Linked DNA regions of Caenorhabditis elegans. The protein of the gene in region 1 interacts with the protein of each later gene in a pairwise test. Each region holds a gene or a part of one and is shown in the gene's direction. Other genes may lie near its edges.

Region 1 (3,148 bases):
ACTCAATCTTGAACCACTCTTCCCACCGCTCATCTCATAGTTGATCAACACTTGGTGCGCTAAAAATAAGATGAAAAAACACAAAAAATAGGAAAAATAAATTTGGAGTTTGAAAAATCCGTTTTGGCGGCCGAGGGACTAGAATTCATATTTCGGTCGTCTGTCAGTAGAGCGCAACTGTTCAGTTATCGGTTTTCTCTGCGTCTCTCGTTTCGTAATGTGTTCAAACTCAACGCGCTCTCCAGGTCTGCACAATTTTTCTTTTTATTCCTTTTTGGAGTTTTCCATTTATTTTAAACGTTTCCGATTAAAAATACATAAAATTATTGATTACAGGATAAGGAAACTTCGGAGAAAGCCATCGTATGTCGTTCGTCCCATCAGAAGTTCGACTTGATCACACATTTTTAGAGTGGGACAAAGAGTGGATATTCCAGCGTCTGCCAAAGGTTTGTGACAAGCTTTTCGAATAATTAAAGTGTAAAACCCGTAAGTATTGAAATTAAAATTATTCATTTTTAGACCGAGATTCAAATTCCGCGCGAGTTTGAGCCAGATATCGAAACCGACGCAATTCCCACCATTGCTCGTCAGCCCGCCGACCCAAACACTACCTGGAACGAGACTGGTTTGGATCAAATTCAAATGGGACCAACCATCAATAGTACAAAAAATTAAATCAAGGTTTGTGAAAGTTGATGTAATTTTTTAACTTCTTACACAAATTTTCAGATGGGAAACGAACAAAGCTCGTCAACAGCGGGCACATCATCTAATCCTCAAAATCAACAGTCGTCTTTTTCATTTCTCACTCGAGCCAGTACTAAACGATCAAAAGGCATTATCACGGTCAAAGATGGCAATATTCCTCAAGAAAAACTCGAAGATGATGAAATTTACAAAAGATTCACCGAAATTCCCCGTTTTTTGCCGGTGATTCCAGCCGTAATAGGCAAACGAGATCCACAAACGAATCAAGGAGCTTCTTACACTCATCAAAAAATCAGTTCGCGGCCCTTTTTTCGGTAAGATTTATTCCTTTTATTCAAAGTTTTAAAGTCACATATTCAGACTAGCAACACGATTACAAGAACATTTTGCCGTTAATGCGAAAGCAGTGGCAGCAGATCAAGCTAAAATTCCAGCAACTTGCAAGAGTGTTGAAGCGAAAATGATCAGACTTATTGAAGAAACAAGAGCTCATAAAGAACAACATGACGGTTTTATGGCTGCATTGAGCGGACTTAATCAATTGCACGATGACATCTGTAGTATTCAGGTGCGAATTAGAAAAAGAAACAATATTTAATGCATCATACCAAAATTGATTTTTAAAATGTTGCACCTTACATTTTTGCTCAAAAAACTTGCTCCGTTTATCAAAAATTAATTTTCAGATAATTCTTGAAGATATTGTGCCAATGGTTGAAACGCTTAATGAAATTCTAACTCCCGACGAACGTCTTCCTCCTCTTAATCTTGGCTCAGTGCTCGACAGATCTCCCGTTCCAAGCAGTGATAGCTCACTTCAAAGTACGCCCCGCCATAATCAAAATATTGGTCATATTGATCAAATTGAGCCGATTGAAGAAATCCGCGTAGTTGATCTACCAAAATAATTAATTTGTAAATTTTTATTCTCTTCTTGAATCTGTTGCCCTATCGCCCTTCCCAAAAAGTCTTGAAGGCTTTATCTCACTTTCTTCTCGCAATATCAAAATTCCATTGCCGTTTTGTGATTTTTTATTTAGTTCATGCACATATTTATCCGTCAATCCTATTTTGATTTCTAAATTTATCATAAATTCTAGTATTTTTCGCAAATTAATCTAATTAATTTACTTTGAATCTAACTTATATGGTTTGTGCCTTTTTCATATTTCCATTTCTTGTAATTAATTGCATCATTAATTAATTTTTAGATCACCAGCAATGAATGCGAGCTCCAGAACCAAACCTGCAATCGATTTGAACAAGGTAATATCTTAAAATCTCATCATAAAACTTTAAAGCTAAATTTTTTAAGGTTCCTCCGATCGATCATCACCGTACAGCAGTAACATTCAACTGTCTCATCATGAAAATGACAGAAATGCTCAATAATTTCGGAAATAAAATGGAAGACATTTTGGAAAAGGCAGAGCAGAGTTTAGACACTGCCGATCGAAAGTTACGCTTGATGGAATCGAAATTGGCAGGAATGAGTTTGGAGGATAAATCAACCACCGCCACACCATCATCAGCACCAGAAATAGACGAAATTCACGAATCGAATCCCAGCTCTTCACAAATCGTGGAGGAAACAGTGGAAGAGAAACCAGAAGAACATACTACGACGGTTCTTATCAAAGACGACCCGGCTTATAGTAAATATTTCAAAATGCTGAAATTGGTGAGTTTATCCACTTGAAATTGCTTTAATAATACTGTAATTTTTTTTAGGGAGTGCTTGAAGCTGGTGTAATACAGAAAATGAAATCCGAAGGCGTCGACCCATCAATTTTGAAACGCGGTGATGAACCATCTCGTCCACAGGCACAGACTTCACGGAATTATGAATCTTCTGGAGAATCTACGGCATCCTTCTCTGACTCTGATTAATTTATTTTTTGTATATTTTTACGGGTTCATAAAATGTATAAAACATTATTTTTTAATTTTCGGAATATGATGTACTACACTGTTAACTCGTTTTAACGATTATGATATACTTCTATTCATTTTTTTAAAATTGATATAATATACATACTAATTTCCCTTTCAGACAAAATGAAATCACATTCAAATGTAACTACGCCACAAGCAGAACTTGTGAGCCCAGCCATGGGTGAACTACTCAAAAATGCCATCATGAAATCTGTAAGTTATTAAATTAATATCACATGGAAACTTTATTTGAAATTTAGGCTCCTGTCGCTCTTGCACTTATGAAAGGTGAACGTCCTGGGAAGAAAAAGAAAAATAAAAGGGAAAAACAAGGTGAGCGACCGTTCGAATAAATGATTAGACTATCGGCAGTTTTTCAGAAGATGACGTGGAAGTTACACCAAAGTCGAAAGAGAAACGTCGGAAAAGCGAGAAGAAGGAAAAACCTCCAATTTTGAATTATTTGGACGATTCAGATTCTGATTCGGCAGATTTTTCATCA
Region 2 (8,138 bases), 7.9 Mb from region 1:
AAACGCGAAAAAATTTGAACATTTCCTAGAAAAACAGCAAAAAACTTTTAAAAAAACTGGAAAAAAAAACTGAAAATTTCAAAGAAAAAATCGAAAAAATTCTAAAAGTTTCAAAAAATACATCTTAAAAAATGCAAAAAAAACCAGACTTTTTTTAAAAGCCTAGGTACATTGATATTTCTGCCGAAAAATAGGAAATTTTAGACTTTACTGGGAAAAAGTCGTTAAAATGTGACTATTTTTTTTTTGGAATTTGTAGAGTTTTTTTTAGTTATGACACATTCGTGGAATATTTTAGAAACAAAGTTTTCCACGAATGTGTAATAACGAAATTCTGATGGTTTTTTCTCAGGAAATGGCTTGAAACATTGAAAAAAACCCCATTTTTTGTTATTACACATTCGCGGAATTTTCTAGGGAGAAAATTTCCACGAATGTGTAATAACGAAATTCTGATGGTTTTTTCTCAGGAAATGGCTTGAAAAATTGCAACCCAAAAAAAAAACGCTTATTTTGTTATTACACATTCGTGAGATATTTTAGAGAAAAAATTCTTACGAATGTGTAATAAGAAAATTCTAATGGCTATTTTCTTCGGAAATAGCTTGAAAAATTGCAAAAAACACGTCTTTTTGTTATTATACATTCGTAAAATTCTGAAGAGAGGAAATTTCCACGAAAGTGTAATAAAAAATTTCTACTATTTTTTTTTCTCCGAAACACGCTTGAAACATTGAAAAAAAACACCCTAATTTTTTGTTATTACACATTCGTGGAGTTTTTGACGGAGAAAATTTCCACGAATGTGTAATAAAAAAATTCTAATGGCTATTTTCTTCGGAAATAGCTTGAAAAATTGCAAAAAAAACTTATTTTTGTTATTACACATTCGTGGAAATTTTTGCGGGAGAAAATTTCCACGAATGTGTTATAACGAAATTCTAATGGCTATTTTCTCCGAAAGAGCTTCAAAATTGCAGAAAAATCAATCATTTTTGTTATTACACATTTGTGGAATTTTTTAGGGAGAAAATTTCCACGAATGTGTAATAACAAAATTCTGATGGCTTTTTCTCCGAAAGAGCTTCAAAATTACAAAAAATGCAATTTTGAGCACCGAAAAGCTTTTAAATTTTAGATTTTCAAATAATTTTTCTTTCGAATTTTCGGAGTATTTTAAATATTTTTCCGTCTTCGGAATTTTTTCCGATGATTCCATAATTTTTACGATTTTTTAAAAAATAATTTAAAATTTCAGAATATGTCAATATTTCTAGAAAAACAAAATCGATTTTTGAAACTTTTTGACTTTTGGGGTCCGCAAAAAGACCGGCTAGTTTTTATTACAAATTCTTTCAAAAAAAAAAAAAAGAAATATTTCACAAAAATTCACAAAACAAGTGTTTTTTGTTTGTTATCACACATTCGTGGAAATTTTCTTCCTAAAAAATTTCACAAACGTGTAATAACAACATTTTTTTGTTGTTGCAATTTTCAAGCTATTCCCGGAGAAAAACCATTAGAATTTTTTTATTACACATTCGTGGAAGTTTTCTCCCTAAACATTTCCACGAATGTGTAATAACAAAAAATGAGTGATTTTTTTGCAATTTTTCCAGCTATTATTTCAGAAGAAAATACTTGTGAAAAATTGCAAGTTTAAAAAATTTCAAAGAAAATGTCAATTCTCAACCCGTAAACAACCACATTTTTTGCAGATATTCTCCACACGTACTTCTCCATCGCCGCACTCTCACTGCTCGGCGAGCCCGCCGTCAATCCAGTTCATCCATCGCTCAACGTGTCGATGCGAGTAGCCGAACGTATTGCCAGACTTCAATTTGATTAATTTTTGCTTAAAAATTCCGTTTTTCTCGATTTTTTAACTTGAAAATCGCATTTTTTACTTTTTTTTCCAGTTTTTCCCGGATTTTTTCATTCAAAATATCCAATTTTCCCCCAAGCTTTCGCCAAAAAAAAATCTTCCAAAACTTGTACCAATCTAAGCTTTTCCCCCCCATAAATTATAAAATTTCTCCCATTTTTTCCAATTTTTTCGAAATTTTTCCAACTGTTCTAGCCAGTTTTACCATACTTCTACCACCTATTTTTAATATTTTTAGCCCGATTTTTTCCAGATTTTTCGGGTAACAAATGTACCATGTTCCGCTGATTCCACGCGACGCTGGCCGCGAGGAGACCATTTTTCGAATCAATCAGTCGTTGCAGAAGCTTCTGCGAGTTTCTGATGAGATTTTCGATCGGGTCGAGCACAGAATTACGAGGATTCATGGGAAGGCTGAGGCGATTGATAGAAGGACGGAGGTGTTGGAGAAGAAGCTTGAGAGCTTGCAGGAGGTACTGGAAATCGTGGAGAAGCTGAAAAAAAAATTGTAGAAATTTGAGGAAAAAAAATTAATTTTTTGTCTTTTCCCAGAAAATTTGGAAAAAAACCGGAATTTTCAAAATTTCACAAAAAGCTAATTAATGCTAATTTTTTTTTGAAAATTAAAGAAAATATTTTTGTAAAAAAAAGCAAAAAATATTTTTTTTTCAAAAAAAAAATTGTTTTTCAAATTTTTCAATATTAATCGAAAAAATAATTTAAATTGCAAATTTCGACGTAAAATTAAAAAAAATTGAATTTTTTAACATTAAAAAATGTTTGAAAAAACCGGAAATTCCAAAATTTCAAAAAATTGGAAATTGGAAAAAATACACGACTTTATTTCGAAAAAAAGTTTTTTAAAAACTGCTTTTTGAAAAAAAAAATCAAAATTCAATTTTCCCCTAGAAACTAGTTTTTTTTTTCGATTTTTTATTCAAAAAACTAAAAAAATTATTAAAATGTCGAAAACTCTATTAATCAAAAATTATATATTCTTTTCCCAAAAATTGGAAAAAATGCAATTTTTTCCCCAAAAAAAACGCCGGAAATTAGAAAGTTTCAAGAAAAAAAAAATTTCTTTTAAAAAATTGAAAATTCTATAACCTTTCGCCCAAAAATTGGAAAAAAAAACGAATTCTGTGAAAAAAAAAGCTCAAAATTTTTTTTAAAATAGAATTTAAAAAAATTTAAAGTCCAATTTTTTTCGCAAAAAAAATTATATTTCGGAAAAAAACCGAGAAAATTCAATGTTTTTACTCAAAAAAACTAGAAAAAATTCAAATCCGAGCAATTTTGCAGTCCGACAAAGTGATCACGTTCACCCTGCCCCGCCAACTTCCAAAACTCCCCGAAGAGCCCCCCACCTCAACATCTCTCTTCCGAATAAACATCGACACTGAGCATTTCCCGGGCTCCGAAGAGCTTCCAGCATTCCGCCGAGCCGATGATCATGTGCTCCGACCCTGTGAGCCCATCGACTTTACCTATGAGCTTAACAAACCCGACAAGTTCTTCCTGACGAGTCAAGTACTGAAAGAGTATGAGCAGAAGGGATGGGAACGGTACAAGAAGCGGCTGCTCGGAGGGCTCAGGGAGCTCTCCAGGAGCCCAGAGCACATCGCTGAGCTCTTCTACGCGGGCACCTCAATTCCAGCTTTCGAAGGTGTTTCTGGAGATTTCAGCAAGAAGGCTCTTGACGCGGATGATGATGGTGGGACATCTAGAAGTGGACGGACGACGGATGAGCTGGCTCAGCTTCGGCTCCACGAGCAACTGCTTGAGGATACGGCACTGAGCAGTACTCTAATGCAGGAAGATTCTTTGGATGATAATCATCCGTTGGCATTTCGGATTAATTTTAATGAGAAGAAGAAGAAGACGGCGAAAATGGTTGAGATGCCTGATAGTTTGCCTAATTTGAAAGGTGATTTTTGGAGCGGGGGGAATTGTGGAAAAAACAGGAAAAAAAAGAAAAAAAAAGAGAAAAAAAAACAGGAAAAAAAAGAGAAAAAAAAGATTTTTTCTTTTTTTTCTCTGTTTTCCTGTTTTTTTTCTCTTTAAAAAGAAAAGAGAAGAGAAAAAAAAGAGAAAAAAAAAACAGGAAAAAAAAGAAAAATCATTATTTTTTTTCTTTTTTTTTCATTTCTTTTTCTTTTTCAGGTGTTTTTTTTTGTCATTTTTTTTCGTTTTCGAGTTTTTTTTTTTTAATTTTTTTAAATGATTTAAATGAAAAAAAGAGAAAAAAACAGGGAAAAAAGAGAAAAAAGAGGAAAAAAGAGAAAAAAAAAGAAAAAAAAACAGGAAAAAAAAAGAAAAATCTTTATTTTTTTTCATTTCTTTTTCTTTTCCAGGTGTTTTTTTTTCATTTTTTTAAATGGTTTAAATGAAAAAAAAAAAAAAAAAAAAAAGGAAAAAAAAACAGAAAAAAAAGAAGAAATCTTTATTTTTTTCCGGTTTTTGTTTTCATTTCTTTTTCTTTTTCAGGTGTTTTTTTTCTTTTTTTTTCGTTTTCAAGCGTTTTTTTTTTCATTTTTTTAAATGGTTTAAATGAAAAAAAAGAGAAACAAAACAGGAAAAAAAGAGGAAAAAAAGAGAAAAAAGAGGAAAAAAAGAGAAAAAAAAGAAAAAAAAACAGGAAAAAAAAAGAACAATCTTTTTTTTTTTTCATTTCTTTTTCTTTTCCAGGTGTTTTTTTTGTCTTTTTTTTTTCGTTTTCAAGTGTTTTTTTTTTCATTTTTTTAAATGGTTTAAATGAAAAAAAGAGAAACAAAACAGGAAAAAAAGAGGAAAAAAAGAGAAAAAAGAGGAAAAAAAGAGAAAAAAAAGAAAAAAAAACAGGAAAAAAAAAGAACAATCTTTTTTTTTTTTCATTTCTTTTTCTTTTCCAGGTGTTTTTTTTGTCTTTTTTTTTTCGTTTTCAAGTGTTTTTTTTTTCATTTTTTTAAATGGTTTAAATGAAAAAAAGAGAAACAAAACAGGAAAAAAAGAGGAAAAAAAGAGAAAAAAGAGGAAAAAAAAGAGAAAAAAAAGAAAAAAAACAGGAAAAAAAAGAAAAAATCTTTATTTTTTTTCCTGTTTTTTTCACTTTTCTTCGTTTTCAAGTGTTTTTTTTTCATTTTTTTAAAATGATTTAAATGAAAAAAAAAGAGAAACAAAACAGGAAAAAAAGAGGAAAAAAAGAGAAAAAAGAGAAAAAAATGAAAAAAAAAGAAAAAAAAACAGGAAAAAAAAAGAAAAATCTTTTTTTTTTTTTCATTTCTTTTTCTTTTTCAGGTGTTTTTTTTTCTTTTTTTTTTCGTTTTCAAGTGTTTTTTTAATTTTTTTTAAATGATTTAAATGAAAAAAAAGAGAAACAAAACAGGAAAAAAAGAGGAAAAAAAGAGAAAAAAGAGGAAAAAAAAACAGAAAAAAAAAGAAGAAATCTTTATTTTTTTCCGGTTTTTGTTTTCATTTCTTTTTCTTTTTCAGGTGTTTTTTTTCTTTTTTTTTCGTTTTCAAGTGTTTTTTTTTCTTTTTTTTAAATGATTTAAATGAAAAAAAAGAGAAACAAAACAGGAAAAAAAAGAGGAAAAAAAGAGAAAAAAGAGGAAAAAAAAAGAGAAAAAAAAGAAAAAAAAACAGGAAAAAAAAGAAAAAATCTTTATTTTTTTTCCTGTTTTTTTCATTTTTCTTCGTTTTCAAGTGTTTTTTTTTTCATTTTTTTAAAATGATTTAAATGAAAAAAAAAGAGAAACAAAACAGGAAAAAAAGAGGAAAAAAAGAGAAAAAAGAGAAAAAAATGAAAAAAAAAGAAAAAATCTTTATTTTTTTCCTGTTTTTTTTTCATTTCTTTTTCTTTTTCAGGTGTTTTTTTGTCATTTTTTTTTCGTTTTCAAGTGTTTTTTTTTTCATTTTTTAAAATGATTTAAATGAAAAAAAAGAGAAACAAAACAGGAAAAAAAGAGAAAAAAAAAGAGAAAAAAGAGGAAAAAAATGAAAAAAAAATGAAAAAAAAACAGGAAAAAAAGAGAATTTGTGACGCTAAAATTGTTTGAAAATTAAAAAAAAGTTATTTTTCACAATTTTTCAGCGAAATTATGAACAAATTATTTTGTGTTAATTTTATAAATTTTTCAAAATTTTTCAGTATTTTTGAGTAAAAAAACGATATCCAGTTTTCAAGGAAAAACTGTAAAAAATCGAATTTTCGCCAAATTTAGCTTTTCAAAAAAAATATTGAAAAATTTCAAATTTTTGTGGAAAAATAGAAAAAAAAATGTTTTTTAATTTCATTTTTGCTCCAAAAAACTCGGGAATGTTAGGGGAAAATTTCCTTTGGAAAATTTCGTTAAAAAAATTTGAAATACCAAAATTTTCAGAGAAAAATCAAAAATCTTTTAAAAAATCCAAATTCCAGGCCACGCCCACGATTTCACTCTCCGCGACCCGGAAATCGATGAGGATCGGCTTCTAGACATCCTTCCAGCAGATGATCAGATTCCTGAAGCATCGGAGCCCACTGAAGCTGAAGCTGATGCTCCGACGACGTTCATTCTTCCACCACCACCACCACCGATGAAGCTTGATCCTTCTCCTCAGCCAGCTGCAACTCCAGTAGAGATCACAGAGATTCCTCCGATCATCTCACCTCCAGCACCACCACCGCCACCTCCACCACCGCCACCTCCACCTCCACCGCAGACCCCATCAGCAAGCTCCTCCGTAACCTTCAGCCCCACGAAATCCGTCGACGGAGGCCGTTCAGACTTGATGGCTGCGATCCGAGCAGCCGGTGGAGCTGGAAATGCGAAACTCAGCAGGATTGCCGAAAAGCCGAAGCGGAAGGGGAAATTCGATGGGATTCTTGAGTCGTCGGCTCTTCTCGGAGCATCGGAAACGCCGAGAAATTCAGCACCAGCTCCAGACGGCGGTGGTGGTGGTGGAGACTTGATGTCGGCATTGTCGAAGGCACTGGATGCACGAAGGAAGGCGATCAATGGGAAAGTGGAAGCCCAGCCGCCGGCCAAGGTTTCATCCACGATTCCGGCTCCACCGAATTTTGATGATGAGGAATGGGACTGAAATGGTTGATGGAAAATGACGGAAATTTTTGAAAAAAAACTGATTTTTTCTGCCTGAAATTGTAAAAAAATTGGAAAAAATCCGTTAAAAACTATGGGAATTCACGAATTTTTATTGAAAAAAAAACGTGAAATTTCAGAAAAAAAAAACAGATTTTTTTCGCCTAAAATTGTTTAAAAATTGGAAAAAATCCGTTAAAAATTATGGAAATTCCATGAAAAAAATTTTATTGAAAAAATCGAGAAATTTCTGTAAAAAACGGATTTTTCTGCCTGAATTTGTTTAAAAAATTGGAAAAAATGATGCAAATTCCACGAATTTTTATTGAAAAAATCGAGAAATTTCCGTCTAAAATTGATTAAATATATTCTAAAAAATTAAATTTTTCGAAGGAAAAACTAAATTTATATTATGAAAATTAGCTTCAAATGACGGAAATTCAAATTTCTAGGTTGAAAAATTTTGCAGATTAACGGAAAATTTCAGTTAAAAAATTCCGATTTTTTTCCAAGAATTTTCTCAGTTTGAAATTAACTTTTTTTTATTTTAAAAATGCCGAAAAACGTAAAAATTTCAGTTTTTTATTGGGCTTTTCCCAAATTTTAAATCGTAAAAACTGATGGAAATTCACATATTTTTATTGGAAAATTCTAGAAATCTCTGAAAAAAAAAACTGATTTTTTCGATTTTTTCTGCCTGAAATTGTGAAAAAAAATTGGAAAAAATCCGTTAAAAATGATGGAAAAAAATTCCATGAAATTCCATGAATTTTTGTTGAAAAATTCGAGAAATTTCCAGGAAATTTCCAATTTTTCGACTTTTTTTTTGAATTTTTTCAGGTTAAAATTGAAATTTTCGGTGGAATTCTATCAAAAAAATCGGGAAATAATTTTTTTCATCGCTAAAAAAAGTTGAAACAATTTATTTTTTTGACAATTTTTTCTTCAAAACCTCCCGAAATTTTTTTCCGATTTTTTAAATAATTAAATCTAAATTTTTCTATTTTTTAAGCCTTTTTTCACCATTTTCAGCTCCCAAAACTCTCGTTTTTCCCTATTTTTTCAAAATTTTAAAATTATATTTTTGCTCCCCTACTTGCCTGCCTGCCTGCCTACCTTTTTTCTGTGATTTTTCCATATTTTTTTCACTTTTTTTTCTGTGATTTTTTATCAATTTCCTTCCACCCGCT

Evidence for each region. The genes of interacting proteins can lie anywhere in the genome.
Region 2: the proteins of ddl-1 (region 1) and ddl-2 interact in binary tests that used the Caenorhabditis elegans proteins (3 or more experiments, as listed by UniProt).

The regions. Positions count from the first base shown.
Region 1 is NC_003280.10:5,646,659-5,649,806, reverse strand, and holds ddl-1 (WASH complex subunit homolog 3), read left to right. Parts: upstream 1-1,922; 5' UTR 1,923-1,932; coding exon 1,933-1,977; intron 1,978-2,026; coding exon 2,027-2,392; intron 2,393-2,442; coding exon 2,443-2,601; 3' UTR 2,602-2,648; downstream 2,649-3,148. Other genes in the region: putative serine/threonine-protein kinase zyg-1, read right to left, coding at 1-33; F59E12.17 (Anaphase-promoting complex subunit 13), read left to right, coding at 366-449, 523-678; sam-4 (BLOC-1-related complex subunit 5), read left to right, coding at 733-1,025, 1,072-1,279, 1,398-1,619; F59E12.9 (TFIIS central domain-containing protein), read left to right, coding at 2,770-2,859, 2,907-2,979, 3,027-3,148. UniProt on the Caenorhabditis elegans protein: Acts as a component of the WASH core complex that functions as a nucleation-promoting factor (NPF) at the surface of endosomes, where it recruits and activates the Arp2/3 complex to induce actin polymerization, playing a key role in the fission of tubules that serve as transport intermediates during endosome sorting.
Region 2 is NC_003280.10:13,541,646-13,549,783, reverse strand, and holds the start of ddl-2 (WASH complex subunit homolog 1), read left to right. Parts: upstream 1-2,138; 5' UTR 2,139-2,154; coding exon 2,155-2,358; intron 2,359-3,187; coding exon 3,188-3,812; intron 3,813-6,284; coding exon 6,285-6,949; 3' UTR 6,950-8,138. UniProt on the Caenorhabditis elegans protein: Acts as a component of the WASH core complex that functions as a nucleation-promoting factor (NPF) at the surface of endosomes, where it recruits and activates the Arp2/3 complex to induce actin polymerization, playing a key role in the fission of tubules that serve as transport intermediates during endosome sorting.